Linked DNA regions of Macaca mulatta. The protein of the gene in region 1 purifies or fractionates together with the protein of each later gene. This does not show direct contact. Links are inferred from orthologs where the notes say so. Each region holds a gene or a part of one and is shown on either strand. Other genes may lie near its edges.

What was found. The genes of interacting proteins can lie anywhere in the genome.
Region 2: the proteins of BAG3 (region 1) and HSF1 purify together in Homo sapiens (affinity purification with mass spectrometry; 3 studies listed by BioGRID and IntAct, with this or other methods). This does not show direct contact. The link is inferred for Macaca mulatta from reciprocal best matches to the Homo sapiens genes BAG3 and HSF1.
Region 3: the proteins of BAG3 (region 1) and PDLIM7 purify together in Homo sapiens (affinity purification with mass spectrometry; 3 studies listed by BioGRID and IntAct, counting the BioPlex papers as one, with this or other methods). This does not show direct contact. The link is inferred for Macaca mulatta from reciprocal best matches to the Homo sapiens genes BAG3 and PDLIM7.

What each region holds. Positions count from the first base shown.
Region 1 is NC_133414.1:131,747,000-131,752,892, reverse strand, and holds the start of BAG3 (BAG family molecular chaperone regulator 3), read right to left. Parts: upstream 3,452-5,893; 5' UTR 3,156-3,451; coding exon 2,976-3,155; intron 1-2,975. UniProt on the Homo sapiens protein: Co-chaperone and adapter protein that connects different classes of molecular chaperones including heat shock proteins 70 (HSP70s), e.g. HSPA1A/HSP70 or HSPA8/HSC70, and small heat shock proteins (sHSPs), e.g. HSPB8.
Region 2 is NC_133413.1:154,708,725-154,712,690, forward strand, and holds the end of HSF1 (heat shock factor protein 1), read left to right. Parts: intron 1-88; coding exon 89-164; intron 165-235; coding exon 236-297; intron 298-410; coding exon 411-507; intron 508-604; coding exon 605-741; intron 742-867; coding exon 868-1,149; intron 1,150-1,524; coding exon of another isoform or gene 1,525-1,608; intron 1,609-2,394; coding exon 2,395-2,500; intron 2,501-2,579; coding exon 2,580-2,645; intron 2,646-2,718; coding exon 2,719-2,788; intron 2,789-2,858; coding exon 2,859-3,064; 3' UTR 3,065-3,466; downstream 3,467-3,966. UniProt on the Homo sapiens protein: Functions as a stress-inducible and DNA-binding transcription factor that plays a central role in the transcriptional activation of the heat shock response (HSR), leading to the expression of a large class of molecular chaperones, heat shock proteins (HSPs), that protect cells from cellular insult damage.
Region 3 is NC_133411.1:186,476,043-186,480,365, reverse strand, and holds part of PDLIM7 (PDZ and LIM domain protein 7), read left to right. Parts: intron 1-2,959; coding exon 2,960-3,111; intron 3,112-3,221; coding exon 3,222-3,252; intron 3,253-3,710; coding exon 3,711-3,829; intron 3,830-4,221; coding exon 4,222-4,242; intron 4,243-4,323. UniProt on the Homo sapiens protein: May function as a scaffold on which the coordinated assembly of proteins can occur. May play a role as an adapter that, via its PDZ domain, localizes LIM-binding proteins to actin filaments of both skeletal muscle and nonmuscle tissues.

The sequences.
Region 1 (5,893 bases):
CTTTCATCCCAAGGAGGCCTGGCGGGAACAGCACTCCAGAATATCCAGCCTCTGTTCTGTTTATTCAGGGAGGAGCCTGGAGGAGTGGCTGCACCAGCACTGAATGCCAACCTCTGCCAAAAAGGGGCCTGTACTGGTATGAACTTGCCAAATTAGTGGGAAGCCCAAGTGTGCAGAAAATCAAACTTTAGGGAGACTGCAGGTGGGGAGGCCCAGCTGCTTAGAATGGGACTGGATGAAGCACAACATCTTTGCCGGCAGCCATCCTGCTTCAGCAATGACAGAAGACACTTGCTTTCGCTCTGCCCCTCTGTGAAAACAGGGAGTTGTCCTAACCACTTCAGGAGAAGGCAGAGGATCAATTGCAAGACGGCAGTAGAAGACTAAATACAAAGGTCTAGTCTTTTCTTTCCATTTTCTTACTAACGTGGTTAAATTTTAAACATCGTGAAGCTGAGTCCTCCCCCAAAGGAGAGGTCGTCTCTGGAGCTCCTCATGCTCAATGAACAGCTTTTTACTGATTGACAGCATTTCCTCTTGAAAATGATGATGCTCACACGGGCCTCAGCTCAGCTCCTCCAAAGCCACCCTTTGTTTTATGCAAGGGCCCTTTTCTCATGATGCATTGAGAAGCCCATTCCAAATACAAAATGATATTCTAGGATTCTCCACTACATTTAGTCTCCAGCAAGGTGTAATTCACACAAGTGCAACCAGATATTGTGTGTGTCTAAGAACAGGGTTGAAAGCAATGAAGCACAAACAGCTAATGGGCTGAATGTTAGTTTTCTCCTTAAGTTTTGGTGCCATGCTGACAAGTCTCAAGTCATTCACTTCGTAAAGAGAACTCTTTTCTTGAGTTGATGATGTCCCATCATCAAAATCCAAGCAACCACAGCACAGAGGTCAGTGACCCAATAACTTGGTGGCCAGGAGGGCACAAAGATAATCAGGTATTCTAGCCTGCATGCTTCAGTTTCACAAAACATTCACTTCCAACTTCTAACAGACACACCACCTCTTACTAGAACTTTCCTGACATTAGTTCTCTCCCTGTAATTGGTACTAGCTGGATGACCTTCAAAGTCACACCTGAATTCTCTGGGTTTTTCAGAAAATAAGAGATCTTCTAACTAAGAGATCTTCAAGGACCTTTCAACTTAAAAATTTTGACTATGAAATTTTCAAAGAAACCTTTCCAGCATCAGACTTCTGATGTAATAGTTCTTACTTTTTATTTATTGAGAAGAATAATGGCAGCTAAACCTGCTTTTTTTCTTTTAATAAGGTTTATGAAACCACAGCCTAACCCATGCACCAGGTGGGTACAGGAATATCTCAACTTGCTGGGTAAGTTTCATGCTGAGAACAAAGTGCTGGGAATGTCTATGTTCAAACTTGATCTTCACTCACAACAAAGGCTGCCAGCAGATACCACTGTCCCTATGTCCACAGGAAGAAGGCCTCAAAATAATAGTTGCAAACCACACTAAAGATCAGGTACATCCACGCAGACGCCTAAGAAAGGTGGTTTGAAATGAGTGTCAGTTTCACCCAAAAATGGGCTGAACACACACACAAAAAGGTATATGCAACTGTGCCCACCCCAGCTAATTACAGCCTCTTGTATTAATTTTCAAGAATAAATACACAAGTAATCTCTCGTAAATGTAAACTGCTGCCTGTACAGTGTCTCACTGTTGGGCACCGGAGTTTTATCAATATTGTTAAAACAAAAAGTGCATTAAAATGAAGGGAAATAATACAGGTCTTTCTTCTAAAATAATGGGTTACAAAGTATTTTTAATTTGGTGAGTTTTAAAATCTTCAAAATAATTTACCAGCTCTTTGCTGCTTTTATCTTGCCCAGACGGCAGTAACAATTACGCTTTAAGTATAACATATTTTTTTAAAAAAACTTTTTATTTTGAAAGCTCAAATTTATATAAAATTGAACGAATAGTATAACTATGATTTTTGAAAATTAACAGACTCATTCCAAATTTACGTTTTCAAATTTCATGCTCTTGGGGATTAGGAATATCGTTGCATATATGTAAATGAGACATACTTCTGCTGTATTCCCAAGAGTATCATTACTCTGTTATTTGTGTACTGGTAACAAATTCTAAGTATTTTAATACCATAACAAGGCAGGAAGCGAATGCCATTATAAATATACACGTATCATTCTCTTTCCAGTGTGAGGCAATGTGGTAAGGCAATGGCCAACTGTAAGTCTCAGATCTCTAGTTTAGAAACTGCTGGGGAGAAGTGCACCCTCTTTTATATTTTACAAGTCATACTAGGATACATTCGTATTGAAAGCACTTTCAAACAATAATACAATTTTAATTTAAAATACACACACACGCGCGCGCACATATATATGAATGTTTTGACACCAGCCTCCTGAGTCATTGGGTGCCTAAGATGGGACAGCAAACAAGATACCCCTCAACCAAGTTGGAGAACTTGAGCGGTAAAATTCCTCCCAAAAACCACCATCCAAGCTTGCGAGGGTCCCCCTCGAGTCCGCGGTCAGCGGGGTGCGCCGCGGGTCCCGGGACCGGAGGCCGAGCCGGCAGCAGGGGCCGCGGCGGGCCGGAGCCTCCGGAGCTGACCAGGCCGGCCGCCCCCTCCGAGCCCGGGAGCGTGAGGCCAGCGTCGGACACGCGGCCCTCCGCCCCGAGTCGAGCCGTGGACCGCACCGGACCCACTGCGGGGTCGCTTCCCGGACCACCGGATCGCGGGGCCTCCTCTCGCCCCGACTCCTGTAAAGGGCGGGTCCGGAGCGGGGACTCGTCCGGGAGCACCGGGAGTGTGTGGCGGGGCGCGGAGCCGGTGTCCGCCCGCAAGGGGCCTTCGCCGACCACCGGGCCCCGCCGCCTGGCGTCCCCCCGGCCCAACCCACTCCCCGCCGCCTGCCGTCGAGGTGGCGCCGCCGACCAGGGCGGGCCGCGGGCCCAGCTCACCTTGGGGCCCTCAGAGGGCACGCGCGGGTCGTTCCACGTCGTGGTACGGCTGTTGTGGTCCACGAAAAAGGGCCAGCCGGTCTGCGGGTCGATCTTGATCTCCCAGCCGGGGGGCAGGGGGTCGCGGTCACCGTTGCCGGACGCCACCTGCATCATGGGCGAGTGGGTGGCGGCGCTCATACTGGGTCGGGGTCTGCCCGCCGGGGCGCGGGTGTGGGGCGCGGGCTCCGGGCGCCGAGTCTCTGGCCGGGCCGCCGCCGTGGGCCCCTCTCTGCCGCCGACGTGTCCGGGAAGCCGGCGCCGGGCACCTTTATGAATTAAAGGCGGGGGTGACGTGGCCAGAGAGGGGTGGAAGTGTCTGGAAATAGCCTCCTCGGTGCCAGAGGGGAAGGAGGCGATAAAGGGAGGTAGCAACTGGCCGGCTAGAAACTTCTGGTCCAGTCCAGAGAAGTTGGCCGCGGCCCGGGGTTGGACGCGGAGCTCCGCCCTGAGTCATCCGCTATAATCGCGGCGGGCGGGGCTGAGGGGCCGGGGCGGGGCTGAGGGGTCGGGGCGGGGCCTCTCCCCGCTCGCCCCTCCCCCACCTTCTCCCGCCCCTCCCCCCGCCGTCTCGTGCGCGTGCCCGGGCCGGAGTCGCCGGGGGCGGGCGCGGGCGCGTCTTCGGGGTCCGCCTGCGGGTGGGGCGCCGGAGGAGCGGTACTGGGGGCTTACTCCGTGGCCCCGGGAGGGTTTCGGCTTTCGCACTCGCTCTCTCCCTCTCCTTTGCGCCGACTGAGTGTTCCTGGGGCTGGAGCCCGTGCTCCCCGTGCCTGCCGCCCCTCTTTCCTGTACAAAGCCATCTCGCCCACCCCCACCCCACCCCCACCCCCCAACCCCCCCATATATGATAGCCGGGGACCATGAGGGCTGTCCGGGAGGAGCGCGGGGACGCTCATCTGACACCAGAAGGAAGCCAGGGAGAAAATGGAAGTTAGTGCAAACTCACCTGCCTTCCTTTGGAAACTTCAAGAAAAAAAGAGATTGTGTCAGCTGATGGCTTTTAGTCTCCTAGACTAAAAAGAAACTTTCGTTGCGGTGAACAGCTTTAAAGAAAAATCACATTTTCTTGGATTCGGATCTTTTTTATGGTAGAAGTTGGTTCTTGCTGTCTTACATCTTGACCCTCATTTGGGAAGTAAAGACCGAACCTAACCATGACATTTTTTGTTTGGTTTATTCAATTGCACTTGTAACCTGTCAAAGGAGAAAATTACAACACATTTAAAGATCTTTTCTGTTGTTGTTGTTGCTGATTCTCATTTTTTAACTTTTGTTGTTAAAGTTCTTAATTTTATTTGTGATTCTAGAATTGGGCAACACCTCTATTAAATTAGAATAAGTGCTCCCATGAGCTGAGCAGAAGAGGTTGATTTTATAGACAGAGAAGGGCTGAAGAAAGCAGAAACAAAGAACCAAGACTGGATTGGTTGTTTCAAAATTACTTTCCTTGTAAGGAGGGGACAGCGAGACAGAATCATAGAAAAATAACTGATGAGGGCTTGCCACCATGGCTCATGCCTGTAACCCCAGCACTTCGGAAGGCCAAAACTGGAGGACTTCTTGAGTCCCGGAGTTTGAGACCAGCCGGAACAATACAGTAAGACCCCCATCTCCACAAAAACAAAAAATAAGCCAGGTGCAGTGGCTTATGCGTGTAGTCCCAGCTGCTCAGGAGGCTAATGTGGGAGGCTCATTTGAGCCCAGGAGTTTGAAGCTGCCATGAGCTGTGATTGTGCTTTTCATGCCAGCCTAAGCGACAGAGCAAGACCCTGTCTCTTTAAAAGAAAGAGAGAGAAAGAAAAAGAGAAATGACTGGTCATCACCAGGTTACATACATACAGATTACTATACAATTGACCCTTAACATGGGTTTGAACTGAGCAGGTCCACTTGTACATGGATGTTTTTCAATAAAAGTTACACCGAGTGTGCTTGCCTCTCCTGTCTCCCCTTCCATCTCCTCCACCTCTTCTGCTGCTGCCACCCTTGAGACAGCAGAATCAACCCCTCCTCTTCCTTCCCCTCCTCAGCCTCCACATGAAGATAATGAGGACGAAGATGTTTATGATGATCACTTCCACTTATTGAGTAGTAAATGTACATCTCTTCCTTATGATTTTCTTAATAACATGCTCTTTTCTCTAGCTTACTTTATTGCAAGAATACAGTGCATAATACATATAACATACAACGTATGTGTTAATTGACTGTTCATGTTATTGGCAAGGCTTTCCGTCAACAGTAGGCTATTGGTAGTTTTGGGAGATTCAAAAGTATGCAGGGGCCGGGCATGGTGGCTCACACCTGTAATCCCAGCACTTTGGGATGCCAAGCGGTGGATCACTTGAGATCAGGAGTTTGACACCAGGCTGGCCAATATGGTGAAACCCCAACTCTGCTAAAAATGAGCCGAGAGTGGTGGTGGATGCCTGTAATCCAGCTGCTTGGGAGGCTGAGGCAGGAGAATCGCTTGAACCCAGGAGGCGGAGGTTGCAGTGAGTCCAAGATCATTCCACTGCACTCCAGCCTGGGCGACAGAGCCACACTCCAATTCAAAAACAAACAAACAAACAAACAAAAAAGTTTGCAGGGATTTTCTTTTCTTTTCTTTTCTTTTTTTTTGGGGGGGACAGAGTCTTGCAGCTATGCAGGGATTTTCGACTGCACGCAGTTGGTGCCCCCAACCACCTCCTGTCACCCCCCAGCCCTCACCCCTCATTCGAAAGTAGCTTGTTTGGGAAATTAGACTATCATCTCTCCTGATGTCTCAGAAAGTCAGATTACAACTTGGTTTTGGTTTGGTGGTGTAGAACTTTAGCATGAGTGACTCCTTTCTGATTTTTAGTCGGGTCTGTTGAGGCCTAATGCAGGAGCTTAGT
Region 2 (3,966 bases), on another chromosome or scaffold:
GCCTGGTGGACGGGGAGGGTCTGTGGGGCTCCCTCAGCCCTGGGGCTCCTGGGATCGGGCCCCACTGACCCAGCCTGGTCTGTTGCAGTGAGAATGAGGCTCTGTGGCGGGAGGTGGCCAGCCTTCGGCAGAAGCATGCCCAGCAACAGAAAGTCGTCAACAAGGTGGGGGCAGGGCCAGAGGGCCGGCGGGGGCCCCACAAGGGCCGGGGTGACTGTGTCCTCTCTCCCCACAGCTCATTCAGTTCCTGATCTCACTGGTGCAGTCAAACCGGATCCTGGGGGTGAAGAGAAAGATGTGAGGTTTTGGGGACGCCTGCATCCGCCACCCAGGGCCCAGGGCCGTCCTCCTCCTCTGTCAGCTGTGCCCCGAGGTAGGGGGTGGCAGCTGACTTGCACCCTTCCCCACAGCCCCCTGATGCTGAACGACAGTGGCTCAGCACATTCCATGCCCAAGTACGGCCGGCAGTTCTCCCTGGAGCACGTCCACGGCTCGGGCCCCTACTCGGTGAGTGCTGGAGGCAGGGCACCCGTCCAGGCCTGCGGGCGCAGTGGGGTGTGTTGCCCTGGCCGGCGCTGCACGAGCCTCCTGTCTTTGATTGCAGGCCCCCTCCCCGGCCTACAGTAGCTCCAGCCTCTACGCCCCCGATTCTGTGGCCAACTCCGGACCCATCATCTCCGACATCACCGAGCTGGCTCCTGCCAGCCCCGTGGCCTCCCCCGGCGGGAGCATAGACGAGAGGTGGGGGCCGCATCACCCCAGCCATCCTGTCCCCCAACGAGGCGAGCCCCTGTGGGCCCAGGGCAGAGTTGGGGATGAGGTGGGGCTGGCCAAGACACCAGCTAACGTGGCCCCCCTCGTGTCCAGGCCCCTGTCTAGCAGCCCCCTGGTGCGTGTCAAGGAGGAGCCCCCCAGCCCGCCTCAGAGCCCCCGGGTAGAGGAGGCGAGTCCCGGGCGCCCATCTTCCGTGGACACCCTCTTGTCCCCGACCGCCCTCATTGACTCCATCCTGCGGGAGAGTGAACCTACCCCCGCCTCCGCCACAGCCCTCACGGATGCCAGGGGCCACACGGACACCGAGGGCCGGCCTCCCTCACCCCCGCCCACCTCCACCCCTGAAAAGTGCCTCAGCGTAGCCTGCCTGGACAAGTGAGTGCCGCCCCACCCACAGCCCCTGGAGGCACAGCCCTGGGCTTCAGCTCAGACTGTCCCAGAGGGCAGCTGGCAAGGCAGGACCCTACCCCTAACCTCGGAGCTCTGGGCTGGGGAGGGAGACAGGTGCCAAACAGATCACCCCACAATCCCAAACGCCACAGAAGCCAAGGGCGTGTCCGGGCAGGCTGCTGGGCCCTGCTCTCAGCCACCCCTCCTGCTGCTGCCACCCTCTTGCCACAGGCCACAGGTCCTGGCAGGTCGTGCTGCCCAGACAGATGGCAGGAGATGGTGAGCAGGGCCTGGCCTCCACACCCCCAGGCTTGCCCAGCCCCTGCCTGCAATGGGGGCTCTTGTTTTTGTATCTTGCAGTTTGGCTCGCACTCCACAGATGTCTGGGGTCGCCCGCCTCTTCCCCTGCCCCTCTTCCTCTCCGCATGGCCGAGTCCAGCCAGGGTTAGCGCTGACCCCACTGGGGTGGGAGGAGGGCCCTGCCAGAGCTCGGGCCCTCCCACACAGCCGTGGACCAGACCCAGCCTGACGGGGCATGAGCATCGGGTCTGGGCGGCATCGTCCTAAGCTCCTCTGTGGCTGGGGCTCAATGTCATCATGGCTCCCCTGGCCATGGGCCTGTGGTCATTGCCTGTGACAGGGACAGGTCTCCCTGGCCTGGCACGGCCTCTGGTGCTGGCAGGATCCAAACTGTGGTGCTGACTGCACTTCCTGCCAGGTGGGGTCTCCAGGGCACCTCTGGTACCCAGCCTGGCTGCCTGTCCCATGGCCCAGGTGTGCCCCATGGCCTAGTGCTTTCTTGGTCACAGCCACCAGACTGTGGGTCTCATTCCCACAGCAGCACCAGGGCAGGGACTGAGCCACCCACACACTGAGCACAGCCCCAGCCATTTTCCCAGTGTAACAGGAAACCTCACCAACCCTGAAAACTGAAATCCCTGATCCTCGTGCTAGAGCTGAATACGCCCCTTGTCTCCTGGGTCCTCTGCCACCAAGGCCTCCAGGCCTCATGGCGAAGGGATGCCCAGCATGGGCCCAGCCGCACCCGAGGGCACAGAGCCTCCACCACCTTCCAGGCAGTCTTCGAATGCACTGCCCCCTCCAGCCTGTGCAGGCATACACGGGGGTGCGGCCTGGGGGATACAGTCAAGGGGAGCCCTTCTCCCACAGGAGCGCATCGGGGTGTGGGGCCTGGGGCACTGGTTCAGCTACCCCCTCATCCCGGGCCAGGAATGAGCTCAGTGATCACTTGGATGCTATGGACTCCAACCTGGACAACCTGCAGACCATGCTGAGCAGCCACGGCTTCAGCGTGGACACCAGCGCCCTGCTGGACGTGAGTCGCGTCCTGTCCCGCCCCGCCCCGCCCCGCCCCGCCCCCAGGTGCTGTTCTGACTTCCCTCCCTCCTCTGCAGCTGTTCAGCCCCTCGGTGACCGTGCCCGACATGAGCCTGCCTGACCTTGACAGCAGCCTGGCTAGTGTGCGTAGGCGGGCGGGGGGTGAGGGGGAACAAGACCAGCAGGAGCGCTCACGATACCATCTCCACCCCACAGATCCAAGAGCTCCTGTCTCCCCAGGAGCCCTCCAGGCCTCCCGAGGCGGAGAACAGCAGCCCGGATTCAGGTGAGCCAAGTCCCACCAACCCCCTCTCTGCCCCTGACCCCCCACCGCCTTGACACCCCCACCCCCGCAGGGAAGCAGCTGGTGCACTACACAGCACAGCCACTGTTCCTGCTCGACCCCGGCTCCGTGGACACCGGGAGCAGCGACTTGCCGGTGCTGTTTGAGCTGGGGGAGGGCTCCTACTTCTCCGAAGGGGACGGCTTCGCAGAGGACCCCACCATCTCCCTGCTGACAGGCTCAGAGCCTCCCAAAGCCAAGGACCCCACTGTCTCCTAGATGCCCCGGAGGAGCTGGGCCAGCCGTGGCCTGCCCACCCCCACCCCCAGTGCAGGGCTGGCCTTGGGGAGGAGAGGCAGCCTCGAGGTCCTGGGCACTGGTGGGTTGGCCACCACAGCCCCAGTAGGACAAACAGGGGCTCAGGTCTGGGCAGCACCTCTGGTCAGGAGGGTCACCCCGGCCTCCCAGTCTGCCTTCCCCCAACCCCGTGTCCTGTGGTTTGGTTGGGGCTTCGTAGCCACACCTGGACTGACCCTGCAGGTTGTTCATAATCAGAATTGTATTTTGGATTTTTACACAACTGTCCCATTCCCTGTTCCATAGAGATATACAGATATATACACACAGGTGGATGGACGGACGGACGGACAAGACAGGCAGAGATCTATAAACAGACAGGCTTTATGCGGTGGCCTCCCATGTGTTTCCTCTGTCCCAGGGTAGTACGGTGGATGGGGGTGCAGTGAGGAGGAGCCCAGGGCACAGAAGGGCTGGGCTGCAGTGGCCTCCTGGGGGAAGGCGGACGCTTGCAGCTAGCCCCATGCCTGCCCAACTCCGCAGGACCAGAGACCGGGGTGGGCACCCTGGCCCTGCAGGTCTCTCGTCGTCAGACCACCAGGAACCCCATTCCCAAGGTGTTTGCACTCAGGGACAGGGGATGCAGGGCAGGCACACTGTCTTCCTGCCATAGTGCCCTCCTATGTAGGCACAGGCAACAGAAGCCTGTCCCATAGCTTCAGGGTTTTCCACTCAGCCTGGTGGAGGAAGGGAAGGGGGCCTGGGGTGGGCAGTGGAGCAGGCTTTGCTTCTTTATCTGGCAGCAACAGCTTGTTCTTGAGCTCCATTGGCCAACAGGTGGGGACAGGCACAGGAGCCTATGTGGGATGGAGGAATCGAACCCA
Region 3 (4,323 bases), on another chromosome or scaffold:
ATGGGTGGGCAGGCAGCTGTTGTCAGGAAGCCCAGGGCAAGCCCAGCCTGGAAGGGCCCAGAGGGTTGTGGCCTGAGGAGGGCGTCAAGGTGGAGTCTGTCTGTAGGAGTTGGGCATGGGGGTTAGGGTAGGCTCTTCCCAGGGGTCCTTCCACGGTGTTCTCCGGGAACCTGCCCCACCAGCAGGGTAGTGAGGGCAGTGGTCGCCCTACCACACACATCCTCCTACACAGTCCTCACACAGCTCTGAAAACCCACCCGGCGTCCTGCCCCTTGGGAAAGTGCTGGCCCAATGCGTCTGGGGACCCTGAACCTCAGTTTCTTCCCTGATGGAGATGACTTTCAGATATGGCCTGTTGGGGGCACTCCAAGCTCCAGCTCCCTGGTCAGCATCCCCGGCATGTGGGTGGGGCCACTAGCTGATCCCAGCCCTGGAGTTGGACCTGGGCCCACATGGGTGGGTGAGGTGGGCTTTTCTGAGTTAGGCCAGTCCCCTCCCCCTCCCCTGACCCCAGGATGGAGGGAGATGGGAGGGGTGAGGGCTGGCCGTGGGCCCAGGCCTGGGAGATGAGGTAACGTCTGGGACTGGGGGGTTGGGCTGCTCAGGCTGACTCACCCCCACCTCATGCAGGGTCCAGCCCCCTGGCTTTTTCCCTCCTTGGTTCCTCTGGCCTTACCCTGCTCCTGGCCTGAGCCCCTCCCTGCCTCTCTCCAGCCACCCACCCAGCGCTGTCTCCTGCTCTCCTGCCGCCCTCTCCATGCTCTGAACACTCCTCATCCTCTGCTTTCTGCCCTCCTCACTCTGGGAAGGGAAGCCGTCCCCGCCCCCTACCCCCTCTCCAGGAGCCAGCTAGCTGCTCCTGTGCACCCCAAGACCTCCATCTCGGGCTCAGCCCACACCTCCCAGGAGCCAGCCCTGTGGGCAGGGAGTGGCTGGGCCAGGTTTCCCTTCTACTGACTCACCATGACCTTGAGTAAGTCACTTCCCCTCTGGGGTGTCACTTCCCCACATACCGTATAAGGGGTTGATTTAGTTGGATTGAACTAAAGGTGAGGGAGGGGCTCAGGATGTCTCCAGGTGGACTGGCCCCCCGGTTGGGCCCCCATGCTCAGCAGAGGTGGCCCACAGTGCCTTAGGGTCAGGGACACTTCCTGGCCTTGCCTCTTACTAGCTGGGTGACTTGAGGCAAGTTGTTTAACCTCTCTGTGTGTATTTTCTTTTTTCCTTTTTTCTTTTTCTGACGGAGTCTTGCTCCGTCGACCAGGCTGGAGTGCCGTGGCGCCATCTCGGCTCACTGCAAGCTCTGCCTCCCGGATTCACGCCATTCTCCTGCCTCAGCCTCCCGAGCAGCTGGGACTACAGGTGCCCACCACCACACCCGGCTGATTTTTTGTATTTTTAGTAGAGACGGGGTTTCACCATATTAGCCAGGATGGTCTTGATCTCCTGACCTGGTGATCCACCCACCTCAGCCTCCCAAAGTGCTGGGATTACAGGCGTGAGCCACTGCGCCCGGCCTCTGTGTACATTTTCAAGTGCAAAATGGGTAAAATCCCTGATTACTCCACAGGGTTGTTGGAAGATTCAGTGTCAATATGTAGCATACTTGGTGCTCAATAAACGGAAGCAACTGTTCTTATTTAGCGAGTGAGGAAGGGGCCACTGAGCTCTCTTAGCCTTCTGACCTCCCATGCAAGCAAGAAATCATGTTGAGCCCAGCTCGCCTTTCTTTTCCTGGTGCTGTCAGGCTCTGTGTCTGGCTGCCCTGCCCTCTGACATCTCTCTGAAACCTCTTGCCTCCCTTTTCCCTGTCTCAGCCCAGTCTGTGCACTGGCCCACCTGAGGAGCCTCCTGGGGCCTCTGGCAGCCTGGACCCCCCAGATCCCCCCCACCCAGTGAAATTGTCTTCCAGCACTGCCTCACAAAAGCCTACTTACTGCAGTACCAGGCCTCTTGCCAGATGGCTGGGTGGCCCCTTGGGCTCAGACCCAGTCAAGCTGCCCCGCCTGTGTTGCTGGGGCTGGCCTCGAGGCCTGGAAGGGGATTATCAGGGTCACCCCTCTCAGGGCCTGGGAGATACCCCATCCCAGACATTAAAACTGCCAGTGGCTCCTCTACCCTCAAAGCCAAGTCCTAGTTCCTTCTGGCATTCAAAGCCATCATAAGTAAACTCACCCGCTAGGCAGCACACCCCATTCTCCTTTACCGAGGCTCACAGCGTCCTTGAAGTCATTCCTGATGGTCTCAGCTCATCCTGGTGGCAGCCGTTTCTCCCAGCCTACTGTCTCCTCTCATTGCCACAGGAACCAGGGACTCCCAGCTCAATAGCCTGAAGGATTGGGGTTGGAGAAAGTTGGCAGTTGAGGGCTTGGGCGTGACACCCATGTATGGCCTGTGAAGCCCCGGCTGTCACCTTAGGCCCCATTCAGGCAGTGTTCACAGGGAACCGGAAGATAACAGGGCCTGTTCTGGCGCTCAGAGGGTCCTAGGAGACCGCTGCAGATGGCCCCTCACAGGGTGCTGGGGGGTAAGAGGTCCGTAAGAGCCCCGGGTGGTTTCAGGGAGGAAGCTGCCCCCTGCATGGGTCAGACGGCATATCTGGTAGGTGGAGCGGCCTGGGCAGGAAGCCAGCAGGAGCCTCAAAAGGCAATGGTCCTCCTGAAAAACTTGGGCTTTAGCCTGAGCCTGGCTGTTTGTGGACATCATAGCAATTTCTGGACTGTGTGGGAGGGTCGTGGTGGTGAATAAATAAGCAGTGTGACTGGGGAAATTGTGAAGCTCAGGTGAGTGCCACCACCTGGCTTGCTTTAGTGTCCAGCAGCTGCCTAGAACTCTGTTGAATAAGAGCTCTCTGGGTTCTGGAAGTGGGGCAGCTTTGGGTGGGGCAGGGTTACCACCATCAACCTGGCTTGGGTCTGCAGGAGCCAGGGCCTCAGTCACTTTGCTTCTCTCTCCATAGCTCACTCCTGGAGGCAAAGCGGCGCAGGCCGGAGTGGCCGTCGGTGACTGGGTGCTGAGCATCGATGGCGAGAACGCAGGGAGCCTCACACATATCGAAGCTCAGAATAAGATCCGGGCCTGCGGGGAGCGCCTCAGCCTGGGCCTCAGCAGGTATGCGGGTGGGCATGCATGGGTGCAGGTGGGCATGCATGGGTGCGTGGGCGCTGGCGGAGGGGATCCCCGCGGGCCCAGCCCGCTGTCATGCTTTCCTTCTTCTCCAGGGCCCAGCCAGTTCAGAGCAAACCACAGAAGGTAGGAGGCAGGCCGAGACATCTGGGTGCGGGCGGTGTGGGCTTGGACGGCCGGGCCTGCTCGCCCTCCTGGCACATTCTCGGTACCCCAATCCCTGGCCGGAAGTGGAGGGTGGAAACGAGCTAAGGCGGGTCTAGGGCCCTGGAGTTGAGCCAGGGGCTGCCGCACGGTCCTGGCACCACGCATGTCCGCCTGTCTGTCCGCCTGCCTGCCTCCCGCCATCGGCGCTGCGTGCTCGCCCGCACTGGGTCAGCCCTCGGTCCTGCGTGGACTGAGATCAGCACTCCCAAATGGGCCCCTTGAAACCTGTTGTCCTCTCCCCTTAGCCTCCAGACAGATGTGGGGGGTGGGGGTGGGGGGCTGGAGCTGCCGCTGTCCTCTCGCGCAGGCGCCCCACTCCCACCCAGGTCACCACCCTACCCCGCCCGCCCGCCCTGCCCGGCTCTGTCTCTGCCCAGGCCTCCGTCCCTGCCGCGGACCCCCCGCGGTACACCTTTGCACCCAGCGTCTCCCTCAACAAGACGGCCCGACCCTTCGGGGCGCCCCCGCCCGCTGACAGCGCCCTGCAGCAGAATGGGTACGTCGGCCCCTGCCCGCCCGCGCCCACGCCCACGCTATCAGGCCCCCTGTGGCCCCACGCCCGCTGCCCGCTGCTGCTCAGTCTGTGCTGCGCCCCAGCCTGGCGGAACCGTGCGGCAGCGACCCCTGGCGGCCGGGGTGGGGCTGCAGGCACAGGGCCCCTCCCGAGGCTGTGGCGCCTTGCAGGGCACCGCCCTGGGGAGGGGTCTCTGAATGAGGCCGCGCCCTTCGCTGGCGGCTGGGGGTTGGGTTGTGGTGTCGGGCCAGCTGAGCCCCAGACACTCAGTGCCGCCTTGTCCCCGGCTGTTCTGACCCCTCCCCATCTTTCTTCCTCTCCTGTGCCTGTCCCTTTGTCCCTTTATCTGTCTATCTGTCTTATTTCCTTCACAGGTGCAGACCCCTGACAAGTCAGTGAGCCCCCTCTGCCTGTCCCTCTCTTCTTCCTTTTGGCACTCTGGGCGGCGGCCCCTCCCCACCCTAGCTGCCCTCCTC